Linked DNA regions of Arabidopsis thaliana. The protein of the gene in region 2 interacts with the protein of the main gene of each other region in a pairwise test. Each region holds a gene or a part of one and is shown on either strand. Other genes may lie near its edges.

Region 1 (4,478 bases), on a different chromosome or scaffold from region 2:
CTCTAGGATGTGAATGAATGTATAACTATGTGGCAAAAAGAAAGAAAATATATTAAATGATTTCGTTAGCAAAATGGATATAGCTAGGTTTCCATGAATCTCACTGACATTTCATTGTGTCTTTATTAAAACCTATGAATGTGAGGAGACACAAAAGTCAGCGGAAGTATCCATGAGTGAAGTGAACAAGGAGCATAGGTTTCCTTGAATTAACCTCTCTGCTACTTTTCTGAGATTTTCTGACCAACAAGTGTGGAGCAAAGCTCTGGTGGTTTAATGCTTGTTTGTAGTCAAAGGTTTTCTTTTTATTATTGGGAAGGTAAAAAGAGATCTTGCAACTGTTTTAGTTGAACTTCTATTCATTAATTCGAAGACAAAACGAGCAAGTACATTTTCTCTGCACCATCCTCTTTATAATATGTCTCGATATATACTCTCTTTCTGGAGTAGAGTATCTGTATACCTTATCGGTTTGTTGTAATTTGAGATTACTTTATATTACAAAACATCATTTTATGGGATGATTGTCGTAATTTTCATTATGCTAAACGTTACTATAGCTAAACATTTTTCGTTAACATTTTTACAACAAGTATAATCGGATACGTTTAGTCTGTTAGACTTTTTAGTTTTCAGGTGATGTTTAATCGGATACTAACAAGTATAATCTAATAGACTAAACGTACGGATATTATTTTCATAACAACTTTTTTCTTTTTGGATTTTTCGTTGCTAGTTGTGAAGCTATATATTAAAAAAAAAGCCCTAAAGCTTATTGTAATTTAGGAATTCTTAAAGCTTATTCTAATCATAACAAAACGATTTTCAATATGTATAGGTATTAACGTTCAAAGTGAGGTATGTACGTAAAAAGATGAAAATGAAGCAATAGAGTACATTCATATTATATGCTCTAAAATATAGTACTTCACAAATATATGCGTTGTGTGTATACAAAGACAAAAGTCCACAGTAATGATAACACTATTTAAATAGGGTTCTTTGATGGCGTCATGGTTCTTATGCCCGAAAAATGCCCGGCCAAAACTTGTATACAACCAAACTCCAAATCAAGAACTTATTATTATATACGAAATGATAACATAATATTAAATATATGGTGGTACACAACTCAAGCTAACCGTTATGATTATTCCACAACCTTTTCACGGTCAACAACAATATATTATATATCCTAACAAACCCTTATTTCGTATCCATTTTTATTATATATAAACACTTTCCATAATTGCACCATTACTCACACATTATAGCATAATTTAGTTACTACTAATGGAAATGTCATCTTGTCTAGATTAATTCTCCTACTCCTCTTCCCCCACGGCCGAAACTTGGCGGTGGTGGCGGTGAAACCCATGACGTCGTCACCGCCTGAGAAGCTTGATCTTGCGGCGGCGGAGGAGTATATCCGGTATTATTATTGAGTAGCCGGATCTGCCGTTTCAAGAACTTGACATAGCGTATAGCTTCATCGAGCATTGAAGCCGTATCCATTTTAGTGCCACCTGGCACGAGTCTCTGAAGAATTCTGATCCTCTCACTGATTCTCTCACGGCGATGTCTAGCCGCCACACTCTGAGGGTCGTCGGAGATCCTCACGTTACGGCGTTTGGGTTTCTTGACGGTTGCTGGGTCGATGTCAACCGATTGCATGGCTGCGATCTTGTACATCATTTCCTTCATAGCACCGAGTTCCTCTAGAGGTTCTTCTTCGTCTTCGTCGTCTTCTTGATCTCCGGAGAGAAGAGTGGTGGTTGTGAGGGAAGAAGAGAGAGGAGGGAAATGAGAAGAAGAGAAAGGATTGAAGATATGGAGCTGTGTGTACTGGTCCATGGCCATACCGATTGGATCATTATTATGTTGATGATGATGATCATCATTCTTGTTGTTGTTGTTGCTGCTGTTGATGATGTTGTTCCAAGTGTAATTTTGGAAGAGAGATGGGTTCATATTATAATTATTCATAATTTTTGTTTGTTTGGTTCGTAAAAATTTTAATGCTTGAGGCGATGCTTATATGTATATATATATGTGTGTGTGTGAGCATATATATATATTAAAGGAAAAAAAGAAAGGTGATCATATGATGAGGGGTTAGGTTGGTGATGCAATTAAGGATTTTGGTTCGGAGAAAAAATAAAGAATAATTTTATTTATATGTATCTTTTCAATAAGTGGACGTCACTAGTCGTTACCAAAGAAAAAGATTAAATTGTATATAGTTGAATAAGAAGTTTTTTTATGCTCCGAAAATGTTTATAAACGTTGTAGCACTTTTGTATACATATAGTTGGCATAATCGCTTTTTTTTTTTTTTTTTTAATGAGCAGCTCCAGTTGACTAATGAGATAGTTTTGAGTTGGCTAGGGTTTCCCTCTCCCACATTGAGACTTGAATTTAGGGTATATCGAGAAAGTGGCTTTCACCAAAGTAATAAACTAATAACCACTAGCTATAAGAATGTGAATTACTTTATATGAACATGAGTTTCTCTTTGATTCACAAAAGATGTCACCACTTGTGTGCTCTTATTCTGACTTCTCAATTTACAATCCCTTTAATTATCTCCTTCTCTCTTCACAAAACCCATTCACTAAAATAGGAAATCTTGATAAATTTTCTCTCATTCTCTTGTCTCTTCACGAAATAGCACATTTTGTTGATCCTATACTCTTATCCCGATCAACGGTCGTGATTTTCTCTCTCCCCTCGATGGAGTCCAATATTGAATGTAAATTGTGTGTGAAACTCGCAATGTTATATATTATTATAAAACAAATGATCAACTTGCTTTTTTCCACAAAGCTATTCTATAACTTGCGACGTGATTAAAGGTTTATAAGGATAACAAACATCAAATCACTCGCATGGGGACACCTTAGCTTCTTCAACATTTGGGTGTTATCCATGATTGTCATTAATAAGAAAGACGTGTATCATCGTCGTGACTCGTTTATATAAGACGGTGGTGAATATATCATTTTCCATGAAGCAATTTCTGCTTTTTATTAACAAAGTTCACATCTACGTAACAACGTTCTTGTATACAAGTGTATAAAACAAACACAAATCCGTAAAATACACGAAATTTTATGAGACTTCAAAAGAGGCAAATTTATATACGTTGTTTCGATCCGTTTATACAAAAATCAGACGGTTCTGATTTAATGTGACAAGTTTCTTATGTCATATGCCTCAACACAAAAGCAATGTATAAATACACATGTATATGTACATATATGAGATATAAGCGTATATTTTGCACATATGTTATGATTTGGTCTGCATTATAATCATACAAATTGCGCATGCAGGCTGCAATCATGCATTATAGGGTTACTTCTTTGGTATTAATCCATTGTTCACTGTATATTATATTCTTATTAAATCCACCCAACTGCCAACTACATGTATGAACATCTACTTATACACACACAAGTTTTGGAAATTAATTTGATTCGATATAAGTATACACTATATAGTTTTCGCATTTATAGCGGTTTAAAATGAAAACCGCAATTAAAAGAGTAACTGTGTATTTAATATAATAGCTAGCATTCGATCATATTATTAAAGTATATAACAGTCATGAGCAAGACTTATAATATAATATAGTTTAGTTAAAAGAAGTTTTATTTTGCCATGTATTTTATATAATACAAATTCGGATGGATTGGAGCAATGAACAATTTTTTTATTGCCTGATCATAAATTTAGAGTGTTTTTTAATTAAGTCTATTAATATTTTTCATACATGTGAAAGTTAAATGATTCATTTTGGACAGCTAGTTTCTAAATTTCCACAAAAACATGTAAAATAATAGAATATATAAGACACATAAATTTAATTTACTTCTTAAATCTATGATTTCATTTAGAATACATATAGTATTTTATTATTACTTTTTCCTTTTTGGTTGTATGTACATTTCTGCAACTGTGATGTGAAATATCATAATGGTTTATAAAGCTTGTATAATATGTTTCGAAATGTATACCGAGTTGTAATAAACAAAAATTGAATGCAATTGATTTACTAAATCATGTTTTCTTTTAAGCAAATTATCACTAGCTTATCTATTATGATATGGTTTAAACATGTGACAGCTCAAGCGGCCCCCATTTCGTCTGTGTATAAAGTGTAACCGTAAACCCTAACTAGATGAATCTAGTGTAAATGTATATAGTACATATACACGTGAGTGGGTGAAATAACTATGCAACATTTTCCGATGAAGATTGAATCATAAAATCTGACAATCTCCATTATTTTCATCCAAATTATCGCGTACATAAAAAAGCATTAAATAACTATATATATATATAGGCCATACATATATAACTATTTTTTTCAGCAATTGTGCTTCTTCCTCCTTTTTATTAATAGCGATACAATCTTCCGTCTTTGTGCGTTACGATTCCCAAAGAACCACACCCTCATTTCCTCAGAGTCTGGT
Region 2 (6,248 bases):
CCAAAATGTCATAAAAAAAATTATAATAAAAAAAAAAAATCAGAAATAAAGAAACATGTATAGAGAGAATAACAGAAAGACAAAAGTGTATTATTATACCCTCACTTTCTTTATATATACGATCATACAAATATCTGAATTGTTCTATCAATCATAAAGATTATGAATAGGCAACATCCGTAAGATCCTGTGAAGTGAACCGTCGCTATTAGAATTATTTTTGAAAAAAATATGAAATATATAAGAGATATTCATATATGGATAATAAGAGAGACCACAAAAGAGGAAGGAAGTCTCAAGAGATTGGTTGTTCGTCTGTAAAACACGTCCATAGGCTTCGCATCACAATTTACTATTTTGTCTCTGTTTTTGGTTTGGGAGACACACATCATTGTCTTTGGAAAGCTACAGAAGTGAAGGGTGTTTTTGTTAATTTACACCGACAAAGTCTCTTTGGTTCCATAACTCCTCTTCGTTACCAAACCTTGCGCAACTTGCCTCTTCCAGTTTATCGTATATGTAACTATGCCTTTCTCGCTGAAAAAGGAAAATGTTTTTAGTAACCAAAAGCAAATTACATATGAATGGAAATATAATCCCTTAACAAGAACATATCGTTTTATATTATAAACTAATCTTCATTTTTAGTAATTCTATAGCCGAAGCCGTTTTTAACCCACTTTACGTAGGAAAGTGAAGTGGAACTCTAGACATCAAAAGCACATGCATGTCTGTAATCAGACTAAGAACTCTCGACCCTAAAATTAATAAACTAAAATCAATATTTAAACCGACTGGTAACGCTCATTTCTTTTTGTTATAAAGACTAATCACATTTCATTGAAGATTTGGTAATATATACAATTTACAATTGATTTCTCTCTTCCCATCATCGTCAATTCACTCATCAACACTTTGACATATGAGCTAATTCATCCATGATTTATAACTTCATTTGCAGAAACAAAATAAAAAAATTCTGTTGAATTTTATTTCTGATCATTTCATAACTTAAGAGGACAATTACATAAGAGGAAAAGGAAAAAGGTGCCAAGCAAACGAAATAGCAAAGCGAAAAGGGAGAGGACAACTGAGATATTTACATGACAATTATAAGTCACCAATAAATTTATATCGTCGAAATTACAAGTATACAGATTACAAATATTATCCCAAGTTGGGTCGTATATATGACATATCGCATCCAAATAAATAGAAGAATAATTTCGAAAACAATAAAAAAGAAGGAAAAGAGAAAAGAGAAAACAAAAGTCAAAGGGACCATGTTGATAAATGGAAGACAGGACTCCCATCTCTTGTTTGTCTCCCCATCTCCACTGTCTCACGTGCCTTTGCTCTCTGCCAATTGTATTCCATTCATATTATTCAATACTAATAGAAATACTTTATCACGTTAAAATAAAGTAATTGTCATAACAACAACTAGTTAGACTTAAACCATGCAAATATAATGCCAAAAAAAAAGAGACTACTTAAACCAATAAACCATACAAGATCAATTATGCAAAGGCTGGATTTGACCTGTCGAACATATTTTAATTGCGGGTCATATAGTCCGCGTGATCATATATTATAGTCTAATAAGATTGAATCTAAACTACAAACACTTGTATTTTTGAATAAATCTTTGTAGAACCGACTCGATCAAAACATACCGGACCCATTACAACATCTCTACCAGACTACCACTAATTAATTATATATATGCTTATCTTAAGAATTGAAAAACATTATTAGAATGTTCTAGTACCTGCATGGAATCAACTGCATCTGTCTCTGAGTTAAAGTCATAAAACGAACTTGCTGCAGTGAGTTTCATCGAGAGGAACTGAAATCCACAAAAAACATGAAACAAAATTGAGTAATTTATAAAATTAAAGCTTGTGTTTTGGAAGTTTTTTAAAGTGTGTGGTAAGATTTTCGTTTTTTTTTTGTAATTTTCGAATATCTAAGATTTGCCGTGTTTCGGAAAGTACTACTAAAGTAGGTATTTACCGAACCTCCCATCTCATGAAACCTCCATTTTCTAGTTTTTTTTTTCTTTCTCCAAAATACAAGAAGACAAAGTCTTATTGATATATGTAGTTTATGATTACAACTTAAATTATTTACCTCGACTTGATTCTGTAGAGACTGGACATAATTAATTATCTCGTCAAGCATCGTAGCCATTCCCATAGCCTGCACCCACCAAACATACACTTTCATTATAAGAAGTAAGCACCACTAAATCAATAGAAAATCACATCACTTTTTCTACAATTTTTTTTCTGAGTTCTTTGTAAACAAAAAAAACAAAAAAAAATCCGAAGAACAATTTTCGGAAAATATTATGAGCGGTATCAAAGAAAAAAGCTAAAATCACACTCATGCATGTTAAAAATACTTTTGGATACATATGTTCTTGTTTAACTAAAAGTATCACTTTTATCATAAAATGCTTAAATTTGATTCAAGTATAATTAGTGACAATTAATGCCGATGATGACCTTTTCATATGCTATTTATTGTTTAATGGCCATTAGTTTCTATTTTGATTACAAATATATTAAAAAAGAAGTAATGAAAAGTTGAAAATGTTAAACTATTATATTTATCTTTGCATTATTACCTTATAACATCCGGGCACCATATCTTGCAAGCATCTTAATCTCTCGTTTATTTTCCCTCGCCGAACCTGAAATTTTGATATAGAGTGTAGACATGTATATAAATTTAAATGAATACACCACGTTTATAAAAAAAATGAATTTATATAGACAATTTAAGCAATTTTACCCGTTCTGCTAAGCTGTGGCTATCAGTGGCTTGGCCTCTTCTGGCTCTCACATGAACAACTTCTCTCTCTTTCTCGTCTTCTTCTTCCTTCTTCTTCTTCAACCTCTTACCTCTTCTCAAAGAACCCTAGATATTTTTTAGACAATAAAAGTAATTATTTTAAACGAACTTTTTAATGATAAGTTATGAAAATGATAAGATAATTAGCTAGGGTTTCGAGATCAATTACTGTTTCAGTGGCAATAACATTCGTATTATCGGAGACGCCGCTAGTCTCTGATGAAGACAAAGTAGGTAACAAAGCTTTTCTCTTCTTGGTCTCATCGACGATGTTGTGATCACTATGGAGGAAACTTGAAGTTGAAGAGAAATTGTTACTACTGTCTGGAGAGTTTCCGGGAAAGTGAAGTAATTGTTGTTGATGATGATGAAGGAAGAGCGATTCGAGAGAAGTAGAGGAAGGATGAAATGTTTGAAAATGAAGGTTACTGTTGTTGTTGTTTAGATCTGCAGCTTGAGTTATGGAAGAATATATATCCATGGCTATTGTCTGAAAATCAGAAGAAAGATTCTCGAAATTTGCCATAATATAATGAATTGAGATATGATCTTCTTGACACTTTTTTTTTTTTTTTTTTCTGACAACTTCTTTAGACTGGTTGATACAAAACTTGAGACTTTTATATTGTTCGATTGGATTTTTTTATTAATTTAATTTATGATTTTAGAAAAAGAAATGTGGAGAAAATTAAGAAAGAAAAAGAGAGAAATAAAGGGAGAGCCACGTGGGCAAGTGAACGTTCTGGGATTTGTGTGTCGGGGAGATATGTCCAAACAAGGAAAAGTAGGACCAATGTTTGGTCGTGGGTTCCATTAGGCTTTCTCTGTTTGCAAGGGGGAAGAACATTTCTAGTCAGTTTGGTGTGAGGTTAAGAACTAGTGGTCTATCTTTAAATTTATTATTAATATTGGGAAGAAAATATTGAAATGGATGTAGCTAGTCAAACTAAGTTGATATCAAAACTTGTTTTAATGAAAACATCCATTAATGTTTTGCATGGAGGGTTTTTTATGTAGGTGTATAGGGTAAGAGATCACATCCATTTGCCAACTTAATTATAACTTCCAAATGGCCAATGCCAATTAATCGACAAAAATACTATAAATATGTGTATGTATAAAAATATAGGGAGATAAACGAAAGTATATATGAAGGTTCTTTTACATAAGTTGACGCCAATTTATGAATCTTTAGTTAAAGTTTAAGTTACCAAATTATTTATATTGGTGAAGACAAATTTTCACTTTAATCGGCATACTAGAGATTTCCTTTGTTTGTCCTTGTGATGATCAAACACATTGAGTTTTAGGAAAGAGTTTTTTTTTTTTTTTTTTTTTCTTCCTTTTAGGAAAGAGTTAGGTTGCAACAAATGTCAATGTTTAGTTGGGCCATTACTATAGATTATCTATTATGTATGGTGGAGGGATTTGATTCACATGCAATTTCATTCATTCAAGACAACTTACTCTTTAACTTGTTCATTAATAGAAGTAGTAAAGCATCCATGCCCAAATTGGTGTGCTTTAATTAGGAAATTTTGGAAACAGAAGTTTTTTTTTTTTTTCTCTGAAAGTGTCTTTCATTAAAACTTCATAGATGCAGGTCTTACATTGTGATTGCAGCAGTGGACTTTCCACTTACATTGGAAACAGAAGATAAGCTCAATATACATATATATATTCTTCTGACGTTAAATTGGTGGATAGTCATCGCCGTCGCTGAGCTGGCGTTACTTAATTACCATCATTATTTTGATGTCTCAAATATTTTTACCTTTTCCGTAAAAAAATAAAATTAACCACTAATAAAAAAATAGTTTCAGTTGGCAGCAAATAGCAATACAAAATTGCTGATTTAGTCCGGTCAGGCCCAATCACGAAGTTTTGTATGTTACGGTCCCTCTCTAGGTGGAATCGGAACAAGATCATCATTATATACATTCCCAAAAATATCATCTAATACAGAACACGAACACCATTCTCTAACTGTTAACTGACAATTTTAAACATACAAATAATAAACACATACAATGTTAGTGGCCGTGCGACTAATTTTACTTACTGTCCCATTTCACAATGACACTATCTGGAGACTGTGCAACCAACGGTCCACTCTTGTTCACATCTACAACATCCATTTCCGAACCAAATCCATTGTTCTGTATCCTCGTCAACGTATCCTGCACGTGCGACATACATGGCCTAAGATCTTTATCCGACTGCAAGCATTGGAACGCCAGCTCAGCGACAGCGATCACCGTCTGTCTCACTCTTGTATCCGTGTCAAACCCAAGTGACGGATCCACCATGTCGCGGAGCTCGTGGTTCTGGATTTTAACGACTGCCATGTTCGAGAGGTTGATCTCTTGGCGCGGTCTTGTGATGTCGACTGCTGGAAGTGAAGAGATAAGCTCCATTAACACTACCGCAAAGCTGTACACGTCGCTTTTGTTTGAGAGTTGATAGCATAAGTGGTAATCCGGGTCGACATATCCCGGAGTTCCTTGTGGAGCGGTAGATACGTGCGTTTTATCCATAGGAAACAGTCTAGAGAGTCCAAAATCCGCAACCTAAAATGTCGAAAACAGTAAAAAAAACACAGAAAGAAGTTAAGATTATGATCCGATAAAATCCCACCAGATTGAGTAATAACCAGTGTGAGTTACTGACCTTGACATTGAAGTTTTGGTCGAGAAGGATGTTGTTGGATTTAACATCACGGTGGATGATCTTGGAGGCGTGGAGATACTTCAAGGCAGAGGCAGTTTCAACAGCGATTTTGAGCCGAATAGACCAAGGAAGTGAGCTAGGGTTTGCCTGTGGACCATGTAGATGATCAGCTAACGTGCCGTTTGCAACATACTCATACACTAGCAGTAAGTCCCGGCTCTGTTTTGAGGAGCATCCAAAGAGAGCCACGAGGTTTGGATGGCGTAAACCCGTTAAGATCTCAACTTCATTCCTGAATTGCTCTGCTCTTTTGAAGTTGTTATCGTATAACCGTTTAACGGCTACGCTTCGTCCATCTTTAAGCTTACCGTAATAGACAGTACCAAAGCCTCCATCACCGAGTTCTTTAGATGGGTCGAAGTTATTAGTGGCTTCTTCAAGTTCTTCGTAAGAGAAAATATGAACTCCGACTAATAATTCCTCTGCTTTCTCGATGTCAAAAGACTTTGCAGATGGATCTGATGAGATGTTTCTTGGAAGCAATGCTGAAGAATTTCTGTAACTTTTTGTTTTTCTACGATGGTATACATACCAAAATATGCTCGCAGCTATTAATCCTACGACCGCAGCGGATGCACCTGAGATGGATTTTGTAATCTGTTAAAACTTGAGCGGGATGATTAACGAAACAACAGAGCATAACATAACTTTGCCAAAGT
Region 3 (7,447 bases), 2.6 Mb from region 2:
ACCACTCCGTGACGCTAGCAAGTATGCTGTTTGGGCGATCCTTACTGTTGTCGTCGTCTTTGAGTATAGTATAGGTACTGTGACTCACGAATTCTATAGATTCAGATCGATTCTGGGGTTGTTGTTGTTCGATCAAATCTTCCGGATTTTGATTAAAAATCAAAACTTTCGTCTTCTTCGATCTAAATTCTCATTAGATCTGTCTTAGGATTACTTGTCTTCAGAGATCTAATTTGGCTCTAACTCTGTTTTTTGAAGGAGCAACATTGGTCAAAGGATTTAATAGAGCTATAGGAACACTCTCTGCTGGAGGACTTGCTCTTGGCATAGCTAGACTCTCTGTTTCAGCTGGAGAATTTGAAGAACTCATTATCATTATCAGTATTTTCATTGCAGGTTGCACTATTTCTCTCAATTTTTATTAGAAATGAACCTTTTTTAAATAAACATACTAACTTTATTTTTGATACTTGTGAATCTGTTGGTTTGTCTATCAGGTTTTTCTGCAAGTTATTTGAAACTATACCCGGCGATGAAGTCGTATGAATATGCATTCAGGGTGTTTTTGTTGACATACTGTATTGTTCTTGTGTCTGGAAACAACTCTAGAGATTTTTTTAGCACTGCTTATTATAGGTTTTTGCTTATCCTGGTTGGTGCTGGTATCTGTTTGGGTGTGAACATATTTATACTTCCCATTTGGGCTGGAGAAGACCTCCATAAACTAGTTGTTAAGAATTTCAAAAGTGTGGCCAATTCACTTGAAGGTAGAGAGATACGTCAAATGGCTGTTTTCTCTTGTTTCGTTTCGGGTTTTGGCTGTTTTTTTATGTCTTGTTTTGTTTGTGCTTTCCTAAAACTTTCAGGATGTGTTAATGGGTACTTGCAATGTGTTGAATACGAGAGGATTCCTTCGAAGATTCTCACTTACCAAGCTTCGGATGATCCATTATACAGTGGATACAGGTCTGTAGTCCAATCTACGAGCCAAGAAGATTCTCTGGTGTGTTTTCCTTAGGACACTTTTGTTGAGCAGCAACTAGATAACTTGAAAAGGATTTAGATGATAAGATACGATGACCTCTTTTTTCCTCAGCTTGATTTTGCAGTATGGGAGCCTCCACATGGACCATATAAGACTTTCCACCATCCATGGGCAAACTACGTCAAACTTAGTGGCGCAGTAAGGCACTGCGCTTTCATGGTCATGGCAATGCATGGCTGCATTCTTTCGGAAATTCAGGTAACTTACCATATTCTTGTTAAATACAACTTTATCTATCATAGCAAATGAGGTGCTATAATGGTTATTAGAGACTATACCAACCTGCTTCAAATGCTACTAGTACCTCTTCGTGATTAACTAGACTGTTACTCTGAGAAGTCGGATATTTGTCATATAATTGTTGAGTAGGTGCAAAGTGGGATCTCCTAGTTTACTGTTGTTACTAGTGAATGGTTTTCTTTGAGTTCAATGCTTGTCGTATGCCCTATAAGACTTGTGATATCAATTGGTGTGGGATTTGCAGGCAGCTCCAGAAAAAAGGCAGGCTTTTCGTCAAGAACTTCAAAGAGTTGGAAACGAAGGAGCCAAAGTCTTGAGGTTGTTTGGAGAAAAGGTGGAGAAAATGGAGAAGCTAAGCCCAGGGAACGTTCTCAAGGATGTTCAAAGAGCAGCAGAGGAACTACAGATGAAAATAGACAGTAACTCCTTCCTACTTGTCAACTCAGAAAGCTGGGCTGCTATGAAAGAGAAAGCCGAAGCTGAAGAAGCGCAACAAAACTATCACGAAGCCAAAGACGACGAGTCTAAAGTGATTCAATCCCTCAGCCAGATATGGGACAATAACAACAACCCTCATCATCAGAATCAACACGCTGGTAATGATTCTCAGCTATGGATATCAACAGAGAGTATGATGCTTAGGAACCGCGAAAACTGGCCAAGCGTCTCTTTCATAGGCGGTTCTATGATCAATGAGATAGAATCCAAAGTATATGAAAGTGCGAGTTCTTTGTCGCTAGCTACATTTGCGTCTCTTTTGATCGAGTTTGTTGCAAGGCTCCAAAATATTGTTAACGCGTATGAGGAACTAAGCACTAAAGCCGATTTCAAAGAACAAGTTAGCGAGACACGGATATAGAAAAAGCTGGACTCTGGACCAGACTCAGTAGCTGCTTCAGCTCCAGGGATATAGTTGATTTTGTATAGAAAATTATATACATTATTGCTTTGTTTGTTTGCTGTCTTGAAATAAGTTCCTAATTCCTTTTTGTTTTGTTTTGGCAAAGTCATAAACTCAATTGGAAAGTTTTGTTTTTCTTTCATTGTATCAATTGAATCAACTGTTTAATTTTTTAAAGCAAAAAATTGATTAAAGCCCAACATAACCCAATCCTAAGAAAGCCCAAAATGGCCCAATTAGACACTTTCGTCATTTTATATCTTTCCCTTTAATAAATCCTTCGTAAAAAAAAATCAAACGCAGAATATTATTTTTCTCGCTCGCGAATTCCTCTTTCTCACCTTTTCTCGCTCCTGGGAATCTGAAGCAGTTCTTCTCCGACGCCTGGATCGGTAAGTTGATTTCCAGTTTCTTCTTAACGAATCATAAGATCTCATCTCTAAACCTTCATTTTCCGATTCACATTCCCTTTAATCCAACTTCGAACCGGTGAATCTGAACCCATTTCTCGCTTCTTCTGTTTTATTCATACCCGATTCGTTTCAAAATCTGCAGTATAGTCTTAATCTGTTTGTGCAAGTAGAGAAAAATCAATAAAGCCGAAGATAACACTCGAGTGGCTATAATTGTTTTTTCCCAGGATCTGTAAATGATTTCTCGTATTTATTACTAAATATTTTATTCGAGATCCGAAAATATCTATTGTTTCGTCTCTTATAGCAATGAGCTCATAGGAATTATTTTTGGTGTTGCAGTGATTTGATTCGAACTTTCACATAAGATGGCTATGGTAGATGAACCGTTGTATCCCATTGCTGTGCTTATAGATGAGCTTAAGAATGATGATATTCAGCTTCGTTTGAACTCGATCCGTCGCTTATCTACTATAGCTCGTGCTCTTGGAGAGGAGCGTACAAGGAAGGAGTTAATCCCTTTTTTGAGTGAGAATAGTGACGATGACGATGAGGTGCTTCTTGCAATGGCTGAGGAGTTAGGAGTTTTTATTCCGTTTGTTGGAGGAATTGAGTTTGCGCATGTTCTTCTTCCTCCTTTGGAATCTCTATGTACTGTTGAAGAGACTTGTGTGAGAGAAAAAGCTGTGGAATCGCTTTGTAAGATTGGATCTCAGATGAAAGAGAATGATCTTGTTGAATCTTTTGTTCCTCTTGTGAAGGTTAGTTTAGGAGATTTATGTAGCACTAGATTACGCCGTTTTGTTAGTTGGTTCAATCAAAGCTTTTTTTTTTGTTTTGTTGTTTGTCTTGTAGAGGTTAGCGGGTGGTGAATGGTTTGCAGCAAGAGTTTCTGCATGTGGTATATTTCATGTTGCATACCAAGGTTGCACTGATGTGTTGAAGACTGAGTTACGGGCTACTTATAGCCAGTTGTGCAAAGATGATATGCCAATGGTGCGAAGAGCTGCTGCATCTAACCTGGGGAAATTTGCTACAACTGTCGAGTCTACCTTTTTGATTGCTGAGATCATGACTATGTTCGATGATCTTACTAAAGATGGTACTTAATGTTTGAATATATCGTACTTTATATGTGCTCATCACTTAGAAATAGTTTGCATAGACCCAAGAGTATGGTAAAGAGATCACATTTGAATTAATAAACGCTGTTTGATGAAATATATTGGATACTTACCTCTTCAGAAATGTTTGTTTTATCTGTGCTTATATTGGTTAAACTTTAACCTTCATTTCAGACCAAGATTCTGTGAGACTATTGGCTGTTGAAGGGTGTGCAGCTCTTGGAAAGTTGTTGGAACCTCAGGATTGTGTTGCACGCATTTTACCTGTTATTGTTAATTTCTCTCAGGTGAATTGAGCTTTGTTTTTTTCATTCATGGATTTTTCAGTTAATTGTCTGCTGTTCCATGTTTAATTTTCATCGGTAAAAGCTTGCTGTTCTGATGTTTTTCTATGGTGTTTGTATTGATTTCTGAGAGCAGGATAAATCTTGGAGGGTGCGCTACATGGTTGCTAATCAGCTATATGAACTTTGTGAGGCAGTGGGTCCTGATTGCACGAGGTATGTGTTTTGTGACATTGTTGATTTTTTTGTCATCCTTGCTAATCTAGGCTTTCGTTCTCGTAAAACAGTTTTGTGACCTTCAAACAAATATGCATCTAAGAGCGTCTATTGGAAGTTTTCTTTATTCTTTTTCGTTCATATAAGAGCCTTCCATGGTAGTTCTATGTTTGTACATGTATCTTTTTATTTTGACACAATTTATGTTATAATATCTCTAGGACGGATTTGGTTCCAGCATATGTGAGATTGCTAAGGGACAATGAGGCTGAAGTGCGAATAGCAGCAGCGGGAAAAGTGACCAAGTTCTGTCGGCTTTTGAATCCAGAGCTTGCGATTCAGCACATCCTTCCTTGTGTGAAGGTAAGACTCCTTAAATTCTATATAAACGAGTTGTTTGATGTCCCCTGTCTCGTAATATTCTGATACATACTGATGTCTGGCAGGAATTATCATCGGATTCTTCTCAACATGTCCGCTCTGCTCTAGCTTCAGTAATAATGGGGATGGCTCCTATCCTTGGGAAGGTATGAACTGAAGATAGCCAACATTTTCGCATCTTGTGACAATGTTCTGAGATTTAATTTGTTTTATGGTTTTCATCAACAAAATCAGCCATACCTTGTGTTATGGCGTGGTTATACCAGCCCCAACTGGTGTTGCAGACCTTATCAAAAAATTATTAACATACTAAAATCTTTCAATACAGGACTCAACCATTGAGCATCTGTTACCAATTTTTCTTTCCCTTTTGAAAGATGAATTTCCTGATGTGCGCCTTAACATCATAAGCAAGTTAGATCAAGTCAACCAGGTTTGTTGCATCTCTCTTGTGTGCTTTAGATACTACTTTTATTGCTTCCTTATTTAGTTGGTGACTGAATTATCTTTTACGGCAGGTTATTGGAATTGATCTACTATCTCAATCCTTGTTACCGGCCATTGTAGAACTTGCTGAGGATCGGCACTGGAGAGTCCGACTTGCAATAATAGAGTATGTTCCACTGTTGGCCAGCCAGTTAGGTATAGGATTTTTCGATGACAAGCTCGGAGCCCTTTGCATGCAATGGCTGCAAGACAAGGTTTACCTTGAATCTTTGATGTTTGCATAAATTTCTCATTCACTTGTTATTGTAGATATTGACACTGTTCTCCTCCTTCAGGTCTACTCTATCCGCGAAGCTGCAGCAAACAACCTAAAGCGCCTCGCAGAGGAGTTTGGTCCTGAATGGGCAATGCAGCACTTAGTTCCCCAGGTATTCTTTGAGCATTTTATACTAAAACCATCTGTCTGTTTATCTTATTGTTGATCTATGTCAAGTACCTCACCTATAACATCTAATCTCCAGCTTTGGTCCCTTTTCTTTGGATATCACTAAAGCTGCAAATATTGAGATCTCCAGATTGACCTTTATCATATAAACAGGTATTGGACATGGTCAACAATCCGCACTACCTACACAGGATGATGGTTCTACGCGCAATATCTCTCATGGCGCCTGTAATGGGATCAGAAATCACATGCTCTAAGTTTCTTCCTGTGGTTGTTGAAGCATCAAAAGACAGGTACAATAGATAGATTAGAGGATATGAATAAGCCAAACTAGTTTAAGAACACTTCTTAGTTTTTAATGTGTTGTTGTTGCACACCTCTTATCTCTGCAGAGTTCCAAACATCAAGTTCAACGTTGCCAAACTTCTGCAATCCCTCATCCCCATAGTCGACCAATCAGTACGATCATAACAAACATAACTCAGTTATATCGAAAACTAATGGAAATTGTTGAATTTTAATGTTTTTGCCGTGTCAAAAATTTGTAGGTGGTGGACAAAACAATCCGTCAGTGTTTGGTGGACCTGAGCGAAGACCCTGATGTTGATGTTCGTTATTTTGCAAATCAAGCACTTAATTCCATCGATGGTTCCACAGCAGCACAATCCTGAATTGTTTTTTTTTCATATGTATGATCGTTAAGTTAAGTTTCTATTATTCGTGTTCTCTGCAATTTATTTGGTTTGTTTGTGTAAAACGCCATTTTGGTTGCTGGCTATGAACTGCAACTATTTTTGTTAGTAAAATTGTATTACCTTTTTTACACTTTCTGTTGTTCCAAACCTTATACATTCTTCTTAGTTTACTAATGCTAACACTACTCCCTTAGTGAAACTATTTGAGATAGAGTGAAATGCGTGTGGCTATGTTTGGTCTTCTGACTAGTTCTTGTTTCAAACTTTATCCAACCCCTCTAGATCAACTTTGTTCTATTCAATTGATTTTGTTTTTCTAATAAACACAAAAATCAATACATTAGATTTTGATACAAACGCCCACAGCCTCCTATTCATGATTCAACAAATAGAAAGCATAAATCATTTGACAAAATAATTTTAGCCACAAGGGTTAGCCCGCTTTTAGCACCCTCTAATAGCATAATATTCTACAGTTATATCTCCTATTTTCCAAGAGGAGGCATAGGCTAATCAAGCGGTCGTCAAAACTTCACGGGCTCGCGAGCTACGATGTTGGAGACGACGGTGAAGCACCTCAGACATCTCAGTGTAGAAATCAGCATCCCATCTCTGAATCAACAAAGGATCTTCAGCAAAACATATGTATATCGATGTCACAGCGCTTTCGACTACCACCATTCCTAAACCCACCTGAACACCACATTGGATCAATGAAACAAAGTGAACAAGTTGGTCATGTAATTTTTTGGGTGACTAAAAGAGTGCACAAAAGAAAACTCACAAGAACCATTCCCATCAACATAGCCGTAGATGCAACCATTATAACTCGGTCACTGTACTTGATCCAAGCCCATATACCAATGCAAGAGCCTGTGATGAGTCCTCCAAAGATGGTTCCCATCAGAAGTACAGCACCAGAGCAGTCATATGCAACAAGTGCCTCTACACCTGTCGACTGAAACAATTCCCATGCGTCTCTTGCTGATTTGTTGAATCCTTTTCCATACACTGCAATCTGATAATTAACCAAACGTTTTTTTCATTCTGAGTCTCATTGCTCATAGGAGGGAGATGATGAGCTTGTTTAAAAACTGTCTATATTTATATATATACCTGGACGTATGCATACTTGTTAAAAAAACGAACTAGTGTTTCAACTAGATGAAACAGGAAATCAACGCAGCAAAGTAAACATTCGTTTCCACAAATCTTGGACCGGAATCCCCTTATCTGCAAAAGAAAGTTGCAGACTA

The links. The genes of interacting proteins can lie anywhere in the genome.
Region 1: the proteins of BEE1 (region 2) and HEC3 interact in binary tests that used the Arabidopsis thaliana proteins (3 or more experiments, as listed by UniProt).
Region 3: the proteins of BEE1 (region 2) and RCN1 interact in binary tests that used the Arabidopsis thaliana proteins (3 or more experiments, as listed by UniProt).

What each region holds. Positions count from the first base shown.
Region 1 is NC_003076.8:3,025,090-3,029,567, forward strand, and holds HEC3 (basic helix-loop-helix (bHLH) DNA-binding superfamily protein), read right to left. Parts: upstream 2,026-4,478; 5' UTR 1,987-2,025; coding exon 1,312-1,986; 3' UTR 1,020-1,311; downstream 1-1,019. UniProt on the Arabidopsis thaliana protein: Required for the female reproductive tract development and fertility.
Region 2 is NC_003070.9:6,328,601-6,334,848, reverse strand, and holds BEE1 (BR enhanced expression 1), read right to left. Parts: upstream 3,452-6,248; 5' UTR 3,386-3,451; coding exon 3,029-3,385; intron 2,926-3,028; coding exon 2,800-2,925; intron 2,699-2,799; coding exon 2,633-2,698; intron 2,203-2,632; coding exon 2,134-2,202; intron 1,850-2,133; coding exon 1,772-1,849; coding exon of another isoform or gene 1,730-1,771; exon of another isoform or gene 1,360-1,729; coding exon 1,273-1,359; 3' UTR 993-1,272; downstream 1-992. Other genes in the region: AT1G18390 (Serine/Threonine kinase family catalytic domain protein), read right to left, coding at 4,914-5,429, 5,530-6,186. UniProt on the Arabidopsis thaliana protein: Positive regulator of brassinosteroid signaling.
Region 3 is NC_003070.9:8,948,733-8,956,179, forward strand, and holds RCN1 (ARM repeat superfamily protein), read left to right. Parts: upstream 1-2,429; 5' UTR 2,430-2,578; intron 2,579-2,941; 5' UTR 2,942-2,967; coding exon 2,968-3,360; intron 3,361-3,454; coding exon 3,455-3,701; intron 3,702-3,897; coding exon 3,898-4,010; intron 4,011-4,143; coding exon 4,144-4,223; intron 4,224-4,444; coding exon 4,445-4,586; intron 4,587-4,669; coding exon 4,670-4,750; intron 4,751-4,932; coding exon 4,933-5,037; intron 5,038-5,122; coding exon 5,123-5,305; intron 5,306-5,386; coding exon 5,387-5,479; intron 5,480-5,649; coding exon 5,650-5,789; intron 5,790-5,888; coding exon 5,889-5,955; intron 5,956-6,044; coding exon 6,045-6,167; 3' UTR 6,168-6,428; downstream 6,429-7,447. Other genes in the region: AT1G25480 (aluminum activated malate transporter family protein), read left to right, coding at 1-74, 259-396, 498-767, 867-1,003, 1,097-1,243, 1,530-2,144; AT1G25500 (Plasma-membrane choline transporter family protein), read right to left, coding at 6,705-6,884, 6,976-7,209, 7,308-7,424. UniProt on the Arabidopsis thaliana protein: The A subunit of protein phosphatase 2A serves as a scaffolding molecule to coordinate the assembly of the catalytic subunit and a variable regulatory B subunit. Seems to act as a positive regulator of PP2A catalytic activity.